Linked DNA regions of Neurospora crassa OR74A. The protein of the gene in region 1 interacts with the protein of each later gene in a biochemical or structural test. Links are inferred from orthologs where the notes say so. Each region holds a gene or a part of one and is shown in the gene's direction. Other genes may lie near its edges.

Region 1 (3,786 bases):
CAGGGTCTCTGGGCAGGCGGTCTCAGGATGCGTTTCGACATGAGACATCCGTCACTGATTCTCCCCGTCCTAGCTTCAGCGGATACCAGAATGAGCTACAGGCTAGACATAGCTTCTCGGGTTCTGCGACTCCTTCGCCCAGGCAGACCTTCCGTCCCAAGGACCTTGCTGTAGTTGACTGCAGTCCGTTGACCTTGCCTGCTGCTGTGTCATGCGCACCAGTCAGTCCTCACTCGATGACCCCGTCATCAGCCTTCCCGTCTCCCAGGTCTCCCTTATCCTACGACGCCCATCGCATTTCGACGGCACCTTCATCCATCACTGAGGACAATTTCCAGTCACTGCTTATGGGCGAACCCGGACCAGAGGTACGGATCTCGGTGGATGATGTCCCATCATTGACCAGCGGCGACTCGTCAATGACTCGTGAGAGCTTCTTTGCGCAAAACCCTCAGGCTAGGCAGCTATCCTCCAACACGCTGCCTAGGCCTGCCTCGTTCAGTGCCTCTGCCTTTGGTCGAAGGCGATCGAGTCTTGCTAGCCTTAGCCGTCTTGTTAGCAGCTCGCATGGTGAGCGCAGCAAGCTCTCGATGGAGGTTACGGCGACTGATGACGGATCAGAGAAGAAGGTCAAACCCAGCAAGACCAAGCGGCTCGGCCGGTTTGTACAGTTCTGGAAATCAAAGGAAAATTGCGAGGCTTAACGATATTTTTCAGACGAAACTAGCTAGGAGCATGGGTGTCAAGGCTCTTCTGTTTTAATGTGGCGCTAAGTACGGAATTTTGGGGATCTAGATGAGATTTATTGGAGGGCTTTTCGACTTGACGGATAGGGCGTTTTTCTTTTTGACGATAGCACGAAGGACAAGATAACACGAGACGAAGGGGAGCAGCAATAGCAATCTCGGTCACACCAGAAATTTGTCTAGGGGACGAGATGTTGATTTCTCGAGGAATGATGTGGTTAAGGGACATATGATTCAAAGGTGGACGATGACAAATCTTTTTGTGATTCTATGGACATATCATTGCAAATGTCTACGATCGACTTAGGGTGGAAGGTTTTGATCAGGTGAGCTTCAAACGCAACACGATTATTAGGCAATTCAAACCATGATACCATGCGCTTAAAACGTTGCTATTGTTTATGTCGGTGCCTTTCTGTCTGTGTGGTCTTGTCCATTCCATTGGGGTAATATGGATTGCCGTCCCAGAAAACGAATAACGGCACTTCAGCCTCGGCTTCAGCGACACAAAGGGTTCTTGAGTTTCAGCGCGCCGTAGTGACGCCGCCAAACGGGTTTCAACCACTAGGGATCCGCATCTACGGAGCCACGTAGCGGTAGATGCAGCCGCCGGAAACGCCGATGCGCAGCTGGCCCGTCAGGGGTACCCCGATCAACCGCACTGCGGTGGCAGCAGCAGCAGCAGCAGCACCTCTGTGGGCACAGCACTTTGGACACCTTGACATCAACAAACAATACCTGAGCCCTACACGACCGACGATACGCTCTTTTACGAGATCCAGCTACACTGAGTGGTATTGATCACGGTTCGCCCACCCGTTACAGATCGATCATCGAGGACCGTGCACCAAGAGTCGCTTTACACACGGACAGAGCTATACCGATTTAGCGACGACACCACAGTCGGCAACTGCGGTGCGAGAACCATCCACTTCACGGACACGATTTCCAAACGAGGATACGCAAGTCTATTCCCCAAAGGGCTCCCTCGTTTCTCGTCGACCTGCTCTCAGTTTCAAACGCGGGTTTACCTCTGTGGATCATTTATACTTTCATAGCGTACTACCGAGTACCGAACGACCGACCACTAGCACTGGCGCTGGCGCAACTGAAGACTCGACCTTACGGATAGCATTGACGAAGCTTGACTAATCTCGTTCGTTCGTGTCTGTCTTGCTCTTGGATAAACGAGTCGGAATCACATCAAGGCACCATCGGGCAGCTCCGTTGGAAACGCTGAACAAGGAAGAATAATTATCCCTACCAAATTGAGAGGACACTCAACTATCATACAAAGCGCTACAGAACAAACAAACCGGAGTATACGTTACATACACCACAGACAAGGATACACGCATACACAGACGTACACATATATATAAACAATGTCTAACCGCAGCGCAGCCAAGCGCCTAATCAAAGAGCTCACGACCTGGAGCAACATCGAGTCCAAAGAAGAGAAGGGCGTCGAGCGGTTAGGTCCCATCAACGACGATGAGTTGTTGATTTGGGAGGCCGTGATTAACGGGAAGGGGGTAGGTGGTGGTTATGATGGTATGTCTCTTATCTTTGGTTTTTTTTCCCCTCCCTCCCTCTTATCCATCCCCCTTTCCCTTTTCATGTTTACCTCGCCCCTTCTCCCAAAAGAGCCTCCATTGTTAACGATAACACACACAAATCTCCAGAAGGCCGCTGGCTCCTCCACATAACCCTCCCACCGACCTACCCCCTCCACCCACCAACCATCAAATTCATCACCCCCATCGTGCACGCCAACGTAGCCCTTACCACGGGGGAGATCTGTCTGGACTTGCTCAAAGAAGCATGGACGCCCGCTTACAGCGTTTTGGAGTGCGTGAGAGCCATCAGGCTGTTGTTGAGCTGTCCAGGCATTGACAGTCCGCTTAATGTGGATGTCGCGGCGCTTATAAGGCAAGGGGATCATGTGGCGGCGAGAGGGCTGGTGGAGTTGTGGGTTGAGGAAGAGAGGTATGAGGGGTCTTGAAAGAGTTGGGCAGAGGGCAGGGATAGAGGTGTAGAATGTACGGGATGGATGGAGGGGAGAATGTAAAGAAAGGGTATAGGGGGGGGGGGGGGGGGCTGGATTGGATAGCCGTGGGATGGGAAATAGACCATTGGATTTATTTTGGCTAGTAGCTCAAGCGGGCTGTGGAAGCCTCTTACATACGAAGAGCGCTTATGAGTATGTCATGTGGCTCTGCTCCCTCCAGGCAACAGATGATATTTCATGTTTCCAGACCTTATGTTGCTGTTGTAGCGAATCTTCCAACATGCCAGCCAACGCCTGTGGGCTTGGTATAGATCATTCCTGAGATATACGCTTAGATATCAGGGGCAAGTGGTATTGGTACTCGCCACAGCCACGTTGCTGCCATGTATGAACTTGTAGAGATGCACAACAACTGGACACTTGTGCAGTGACTGGTCATGGTTCCTTACTATGTATATACAAAAGAAAGAGACATCGCTCCAAATCATCGGAGATGGTCTATGCTTACTGTATTAGAAAATGGCTACGGTTGTTAGTCACAAAAGAACAGAACAGAGCGATATACCAACCTGTACTTGATGCCAGCAAGGAACCTAACCGCAACCCCTTACTTTTCATTATGCTATTAGTTTAGGAAAGATGAACTTCAAAAGTCCCCTATGTTTCCTCGCCCATAGTCTAGTATATATCGTCAGAAGTCGTCGCTGTACCCTATGTCTTTGGAAACTTGACCAGATAAGGTTTGTTATAAGATTCCTTGCCCCGGTCGCTCAGAGCTTTTGGAGTTAGCAAAGAGCTCTTCTCTCGACAACGAGCAGACAACCTTGATCATCACACAAGGTTGCGTCTGGCACATCACACATCAGACGTGTATTTGAACCGCGCCCTCCAGCTGTGCACTTTTCGCTTCCCACATTCCTTCCCATAACCCAGAACTCATCAAAAAATTTACAAGAACTTAGAAGAACGCCACAGTTGCTGGGCCTAGCAACTCTGGATGCTGTGAAATTGAACATCTCCAAGGCAGAA
Region 2 (3,851 bases), about 2.2 Mb from region 1:
AACGGATGATCGGGAGAATTGCGTTCCTGTGCCCCAGCAAAGAGGGTGAGATCCCAATCCTTGGCAACGTCCCAGTAAAAGCTGTAGAGTGAGTTGAGCAGACACGCAACAATCCATGCACGGTACAGGCTCGTAGTTGGGGTACCGCTGGTGTTTGCGTTACGCAACATGGCGTTTAGAATGATAACAGGAAACGCGGTCGAGTACTTGGCCGCGTTGGCGAGATGTTGTCCACCCCAGCCCGTGGACTCCTTGAAAGGGGAATTTCGCACGCGCAGATATTCGATAAGACACTGGCGCAGCCGAATAGCGCTTGGTATCGTCAGGAGAAGTGGTACGAGATAGGTGCCGCCGCAGCTGCGATCGGGTCGGTCAGTAGCAGACCCATTCCGCGTGAAGAACATGCAGAGACATATGAACAGGTCCCCAAGGACCTTGGCGTAGCTGGTGAGAACATCAGCCAGCAAGATATCCCCAAACTTTCCATCCTTGGCCTCAGCCAAACCTCCCACACTGACGCGGCGCAGAGTTGCGAGTAGTCGACGTCGACCGGAGTGCGAAACAGACAGTCTTCGCAGGGGTAGCACGAAGAGGGCTGCGGTCACTGCCAAGTTGGTCATGGGAATCCAGTCATAGTCGATAACGCGTTTTGGATCGCGCCTGGTAAACGACCAAAATGTGAGAATCGAAACAGCGGAGCTTAGCGAAAGAAGAGTCGCAAGACGGTATGTCGAGTGGTGGTGAGGGAGCTGGGTTGGGCTCGATCTTCCTGGGTACCGGATTAAGGAGGGGACGTCGATCTTGCGATTATGGAGGAAGTGAAGGTTGAGGCCCCAGCCCCAAACAGCTAATCAACCAGAGATAGTCAGTTTACAACCGTGTATCCAGAGAGCAAACATACGGTAGGAAACTTGTATATACATACCTATGATCACGATGAAGGCAACCCGGTAGGGAAGGGGAAAGGTCAAGCTGAAGGAGTCGAGCTCCGGCTCAACCACGGGATCACCGTCCATTGCGCCAGGCAGCGGTCAATTTGCTGTCCGTCATGGAATGCGGAGAGGGAGAAGTAACAGTTGGACGCAAAGAAGAGTTGATAGGCTTGGGATCAAATTCCCAGCAGTAACGCGTTTGGAGTTTGTCAAGTGTCAAGATGGAAATTTTAATTTCATCTGTATTGTGGTAGCTGTCGCAAAGACACCGGAGTTGCCAAGCCCCTGTCGCGTGCACTCTTTTTGGCTTAGGGAGAAGACCCGACGTCAGTGCAACCCCTGGTCGCGGCCCCGTCCTGTGACAACCCGCTGCATCATCCCTGCCGCTAAAGCCTGGGCTACGACGTTCTGGGCACCCCCCTGCCAATTCCTCAGCTCGCTCCTTGTGAGGAGGAACCACGCCTGGGGCGGCGCCGGGCGTGCTGCCCCCATTAACCCCAAGGACCGAGGTCCATCCGTTCCCGACTACCACTTTCATCTCAGCTTCAACTGCCGCCTGTCGATCTCGAAACATCAAACAACAACTCGGATAATTTCAGATCGAAAAGACTTAATCATCCACTGCCACAGCTTCGACGATTCGACTGTAGGCATACGAGCTCTCCTAGGGTTCGAGAGTTCCCCCTGAATACGTCGACCGTGTAAACACAGCTTTTGACCCCCCCGACTTCGAGCCCACCCGACCCGACCCAAACGACGACATCAATTACCATGTCATTGACGGCCACCAAGAAGCCTCCTCCGCCGCTCACGAGCTCGCCATATCCATTCGCTGCAGCCCCCGACATTATCCGCGCGCATCAAAAAGATGCCTATTTCCAGGGCGTCCTCACTAACCAGCTGACCGACCTTCACCGGCGCGTTCGCGGTGCCCGCTCCGCCCACTCCTGGGCCACCGAAACCCGTACGGCTGCCGACCTGCTCTACCTATGCCTCACCACCCTCCTCGGCAACCGCACCTTAGGCGAGGAGTACTGCGACCTAGTCCAAGTCGAAGAGCCGAGTACGGGCGGCAACGGCAGGATACCAGACACCCAAAGCCCCGTCGAGCCCAGCAGCGAAGCCGGTGGCCCCCGTCTGCCCTCGCTCCAGCGACGAGCCGGCTACATCGTTAGTAGCGTTCTTGTCCCCTACCTTTTCAGCCGCCTGCTGCCCTCCATCCGCGCCGCGCTCCGCAAGCGCCTCCAGGACCGTCTCACCGTGCTTGCCCGCCAGGGCCGCGGCGACACCAAGGGCGCCACCCCATCTACCTCCAACAACAAGGGCGGTGGTTTCTCCACAGTGTCAACGCTTGAGTACCGCGTGAAGCGCTACCTGCTCACACACCTGACTTCCATCACCAGCGGCGCGCACCTGCACGCCTTGACGCTGGCCGTATTCTACTTTTCGGGTGCTTACTACTCTTTCTCCAAGCGCCTCTTCGGGCTGCGTTATGTGTTCACGCGGCGCATCGAGGAGGGTCAAGGCGGTCGCGCGGGCTATGAAGTGCTCGGCGTGCTGCTGGTGGTGCAGATGCTCGTCCGGGGATACCTGCATGTGACGGCGCAGCTGTCGTCAACTTCGCCGCTTAGTGCCGAGGAGGCCAGTACCGAGGCGAGCATTCGGGAGCGCGCCTTTGGGCCGGGCGCTGCGGGCACACTGGATGTGTCGTTAGATGAGAATGCCTATAGCAGCAATAACGAGTTGCTGGTGGAGACGGGCAAGTCGGGTAACCAGCGTAGTTTGGCGGAGATTGGACGGACGACGCACACCCCTGTGCCCAAGGGCGGGAGGGCGAACTACGACTTGGCGGCGAATGAGGAGGTCATGGGCTGGATCAAGGGGAGACAGCAGAGGATGTGCACGCTTTGCTTGGAAGAGCTGAAGGACCCGGCGGCGACCCAGTGCGGACATGTCTTCTGCTGGTCGTGTATTGGAGACTGGGTGCGCGAGAAGCCTGAGTGTCCGTTGTGCAGACGTGAGACGATGGTACAGCATATTCTGCCATTGAGGGTTGCTTAGAGCAGTCCTTTTCTGGCGGTCGGGGGGGACAAAATACTTAATATACGGGAGATATGACAAAAAGCAGGAGTCTTACAACGTCCTCTCGAGAACAGATTTTGGGTAGTATTTGCACATGACAAGGAGCGAACAGTCAACAACTGCGGTTTAGGGATAATTGTATATGCAGCAAGCATATTGCCAGGAGAGAGAGCCTGTTTTCGTACATAGCCTAATGATTGAATGATCCGACATATTCTCAAAAGGTCAGGAACTTTTGACAAGCTAATGCACATATGTTCAAGTATGAAATTGAATTATTCCTTGTCCGATATTAATATTTGGTATTTACTCTACAAAAACTTCTCTTGCTTGATTAATATCGAGTCTCGTCCCGTTTGGGTCTTAATCAAGACCCGAGCAACCTCGACATAGGTCCAAAGGGTCATGAAATACATACACGAGGTGCGAAAGAGAAAATATGACACCTCAATGAAAGCCTCAAGTTCCGACCCATCTTCAAGCATCAAGCCACCAAGGTCGTGGTTGTCGTACTTGTGCTTCGCTGTCCCCCAACAGCTCGTAATCGTGGACGCTTTCGCGTCATCAAGATCGTGGGCACATCATATGCCTCCCCTTCAACAGAAAGACCCATTTACCGTATGGAATGAGGAGAGAGCGACGGCGCGGATTTCGTTGTCGAATCGAGCTATTTCTTTTCGGGGTCTCCTGAGGAAACCCTTTGGATGAATTCTGCGATGGCTTCAAAGTAGCCTTCTTCGAGGACACTCGAGTTATGGTCGCCGTTGGGAAGAGGCTTCCAGATCTTTATCGGAGCGTTGGAGAGATGATAAAGCTGCTTCATATGAGTGGGTCTAA
Region 3 (3,860 bases), on another chromosome or scaffold:
GGTGCGGGTGCTGGTGCGGGTGCGGGTGCTGGTGCTGGTGCTGGTGGTGCTGCACTTCTTGGTGGCTGCTGCTGCTGCTGCTGCGGGTGACGACTTTGTGAATGTTGACTTTGTGGATACGGTAGTAGTGGTGGTGGTGCCGGTTGCTGAAATTGCTGATATTGTTGGTGTAGATGGTGTAGATGGTGCAGATGATGATGTGGATGTTGATGTTGACCACCACCACCGCTCTTTGGTGGTGTTGCTGGTGGTGGTGGTGGTGGTGGTGGTGGCGGTGATGCCGACCCCTTTCTTCCTTCTTGACCACCGGCCATAGTATTTTCTTGCTCCTCTTGGGATGCTAACGAAACAACAACGACTTCAGATGTCTTTACTGGGCGATGATAAGTACGGATGGTCATCTTTTATCTCCGTGAGCGACGAGACGAGACGATAAGACGGGAAGGGAAGGGAAATAAGAATGATAAGATTGTGGCTTGCAGGTCCGGTGTTTCACTGTGCCGTCCGTAATGGGATGCGCGGCAGGGAAGGGCGGTTGTAGATTGCCGTTAGTAGAGGTAGTGTAGTCTCGTAGTGTGTATGTAGGTAGACGGGAGGGAGGTAGGTAGTTGCCTTGGTCGGTGTTGGTTAGTATCGATGTACCACACACACACAGGAACCGGCAATAAGTCAAAACAGGGAAGTAGTAGGTAATTTATCAATGTAGTGTTACCGGCGGTACAAGTAGTAGGTAGTAGTAGTAGGTATGTGTAAAAGAGCGGGATGGAAACAACACCGACAACGGATGCCCGACAACTCGACGGAATCGAACCAAAGCAAAAGAGGAGAGGGGGGTATCCATGCCTGCCGTGACTACCTAGCATAGTAGCAGTAGTCTACACTACACATCACAGGCACAGGGGGGGATGATTGGGGATGAATGGGCAAATGGGGTAAACTGGCGGGCATCCGTTGCAACCCATTTCTTGGGGTACATGAATGACCTGACAGCCTCGGCTACCTGGCAAGGTCCAAATGGCGGCGGCGGCAAGCAAAAGCAAGCAAGCAACTACACTAGACAGCGACGGGAGCACCCACAGGCCTCCACTGCGCTGCCCGACTTTCAGCTGTCCACTCACAGTGCTACCAAGTGCCACTTTTGATGCGTCGCGGCATCCACTCCTTGGCCCCGGTCTGAGTCCCCCCCCCCTTGTTCGAACTTCCAGGAGGTCGAGGTCCAGGTCCATCTCGCCCCGTTTCTTTCAATTCATCCCAATTATATCGTGAACTTGACTTGACATCAACAAATCCATCGATGGAAACCACGACGGCGATATAATACTAGTAAAACGTCACACCGACCCCCTATCACTACGCGCGACACTGGAACATACCGAAAGAGGAACCTCGAACTCACCCCCTCTCGATACAACCGGCGGGAGCCTATCCCATCCCATCCCATCCCGCCCCCGATAACCACCAGACCGTAACAATACCCAACCGGGCACCGTCGCAACAACCATGGAATTCGTCACCGCCCTCCGCGGCACCTTCGACGACGGCAAGCCCTCCCTCTTCGAGCTTCTCTCGGAACAACAACTCGCCTCCCTCCTCCCGCCCACCCTCCGCTACCTCCTCACCGTGCTCACCCACCGCTACCCGCGCCACCTGCTGCGCATCCTCAACTCCTTTGACGAGCTGTACGCCCTCGCGGGGCTGCTCGTCGAGCGCCACTACCTCAAAACCCGCGGCGGCAGCTTCACCGAGCACTTTTACGGCCTCAAGCGCGAAAAGGCGCTGGCCGCCGAGATCCCGCGCGCGGCCTCTTCGGCGCCCAACCTCGTCCGCGACGCCCTCAAGCTCTCCGATGTCGACATCTGGAAGAACCTGGCCGTCATGGTCGGGATCCCCTACCTGAAACGCAAGCTGGACGAGGCCTACGAGATCGATGCGCCGCGCGCCATGTTGGGCGGCCAGTACACGCGGCCGCCGGCAAAGGGGGCCCCGATGAAGGAGCGGTTCTTGTATTACTACCGCTGGTTTCTACGTAAAGTGTACCCGAGCTTGAACGCGGCGTATTACTTTGCCATCTTGGCGTTTAACCTGGGGTATCTGTTTGACAACACAAAGTACCATAACCCGTTTTTGTGGCTGATCGGGACGCGCGTGCGGCGGATGAACGGGGCGGATTATCAGGCGATTGAGGCTCTAGAGAAGGCAGCGGGGGCCGCCGCCGCTACCTCCAGATTAACAGGGGGGTCGATGTTCAGTCCGAGGAATATGAGTCGAAGGCTGATGGGCGGTCTGTCGCTGGTGCTGCCGACGAGTATTTTTGCGCTCAAGTTCCTTGAGTGGTGGTACGCTTCGGATTTCGCCAAGCAGCTGAGTCGCAAGGCGGCGGAAAGCCTGGATCTGCCGCCGCCGACGGTGACGGGGCTGGTGGAGGCGCAAGCGAGGAATAAGCCTAAACCCAAGATCACGAGGACGTCGGAGGATGGTGTGGAGGAGAAGGCGGATGAGGATGATGAGGCAGAGGAGGAGGCTAGCAGCAAGGAACCAACGCCCGAGACGGCGCCTATAGCGGCTTCGACGCTGTTGCCGATTTTCACGGTGCCACCACCCAAGAGATCTGATATGTGCCCTATTTGCGAGGACGAGATCCAGACGCCGGCGGCGTGTCAGACGGGTGTGGTCTATTGCTTTTCGTGCATACACAAGTGGATGAGCGGGACCCATGTCAGGCAGGAGAAGTTCATGACGAAAGAGCGCGAGGGCAAGTGGGAGAGCGGAGAGGGGAGATGTGCCGTCACAGGAAGGAAAGTGCTGGGAGGGACGGAAGGGCTGAGGCGGATCATGGTTTAGCCGGAAAGAAGATATTGAGGATGATGGATTGGCATGAGTTGTGAAAAGCGAACATTAGACATTATTTAATGGTGGCATATAATCTGGCAAGTTGCATAACCAACATACCGCAAACGAACATGTAAAACTGGACATGCTTACTGGTCAGACAATCAGATTCCTCTATCACCTCGTGGTCGATGAAATGTCAACAGCCATCTTCTTTTTTTTTCTGTACTGCCAAACCGGATGGTTCACGTACGAACAACACGAAGCTCATGCAAGAAAAAAAAAAAAAAAAAGGGGGGGGGGGATCAGAATGTCTATCAACACCGTTTCAGTAACTCGATTAATCTACCTGTACGTACTTCGCGAATCCAAAAAGGCAAAAGAAAGATGCGGTTTGTGTGGATCGAACACACGACCTTCAGATTTATGAGTGAAGTGGACTTCAGTCTGACGCTCTCCCAACTGAGCTAAACCCGCTTTGTTGTTGGACTCTAAGTGCCAAACCTTAACTCATATGGTAGCACCTACCACTTTGCCTGCCATGTTGACCAAATTCGCAATGAAAATGGAATTTCCCATCTTCCTGTATGTCTGTCTACGTCTTGCTTGACGATAATTTCTTTCAGATTACTAGCTAGTCAATTATTTGCCGTGATGAGAAGCGCTATCTAGTGTAGTTGATTTTACTTCAAACCCTGTAGCAAGTGGATGGCGATGTGATAGAGTTCGGTAGGTAGGTAGGTAGGTATTATTGCGATGCTTCTCATTGTATAACCATATACATACGACCACCAGTGAATATTCTGCCTTTCTCTGCCTGAAGAACGCTGTCTTGACTAGGTAGCTGTCTATGGAGAGAAAAAGAGAGAAAACAAAGGGGTAATGGAAATGGAAATGCATAGAGTGTATATATACCTCTACCGAACGAAGTCCTCGTGCGAGGAGTATAGTATAGTAGATAGAGAAGAGAAGAGTGATATCTTGTTGCAAATGCGCTCCTCCCTCCCTCCCTGAAAAATCAAAGGACGGTC

Evidence for each region.
Region 2: the proteins of pex4 (region 1) and pex10 form a complex in vitro, tested with the Saccharomyces cerevisiae proteins (2 studies listed by BioGRID). The link is inferred for Neurospora crassa OR74A from reciprocal best matches to the Saccharomyces cerevisiae genes PEX4 and PEX10.
Region 3: the proteins of pex4 (region 1) and pex12 form a complex in vitro, tested with the Saccharomyces cerevisiae proteins (3 studies listed by BioGRID). The link is inferred for Neurospora crassa OR74A from reciprocal best matches to the Saccharomyces cerevisiae genes PEX4 and PEX12.

The regions. Positions count from the first base shown.
Region 1 is NC_026501.1:3,007,430-3,011,215, reverse strand, and holds pex4 (ubiquitin conjugating enzyme), read left to right. Parts: upstream 1-1,412; 5' UTR 1,413-2,131; coding exon 2,132-2,300; intron 2,301-2,431; coding exon 2,432-2,751; 3' UTR 2,752-3,189; downstream 3,190-3,786. Other genes in the region: NCU02637 (hypothetical protein), read left to right, coding at 1-704. UniProt on the Saccharomyces cerevisiae protein: Catalyzes the covalent attachment of ubiquitin to other proteins. Essential for peroxisome biogenesis. Required for UBC4-independent ubiquitination of PEX5.
Region 2 is NC_026501.1:5,159,102-5,162,952, reverse strand, and holds pex10 (RING-1), read left to right. Parts: upstream 1-1,430; 5' UTR 1,431-1,703; coding exon 1,704-2,993; 3' UTR 2,994-3,327; downstream 3,328-3,851. Other genes in the region: NCU03278 (protein-ER retention protein), read right to left, coding at 1-847, 926-1,016; bem46 family protein, read right to left, coding at 3,682-3,847. UniProt on the Saccharomyces cerevisiae protein: E3 ubiquitin-protein ligase component of a retrotranslocation channel required for peroxisome organization by mediating export of the PEX5 receptor from peroxisomes to the cytosol, thereby promoting PEX5 recycling.
Region 3 is NC_026504.1:5,625,260-5,629,119, reverse strand, and holds pex12 (peroxisome assembly protein 12), read left to right. Parts: upstream 1-1,175; 5' UTR 1,176-1,500; coding exon 1,501-2,841; 3' UTR 2,842-3,230; downstream 3,231-3,860. Other genes in the region: NCU05244 (thioesterase), read right to left, coding at 1-401. UniProt on the Saccharomyces cerevisiae protein: Component of a retrotranslocation channel required for peroxisome organization by mediating export of the PEX5 receptor from peroxisomes to the cytosol, thereby promoting PEX5 recycling.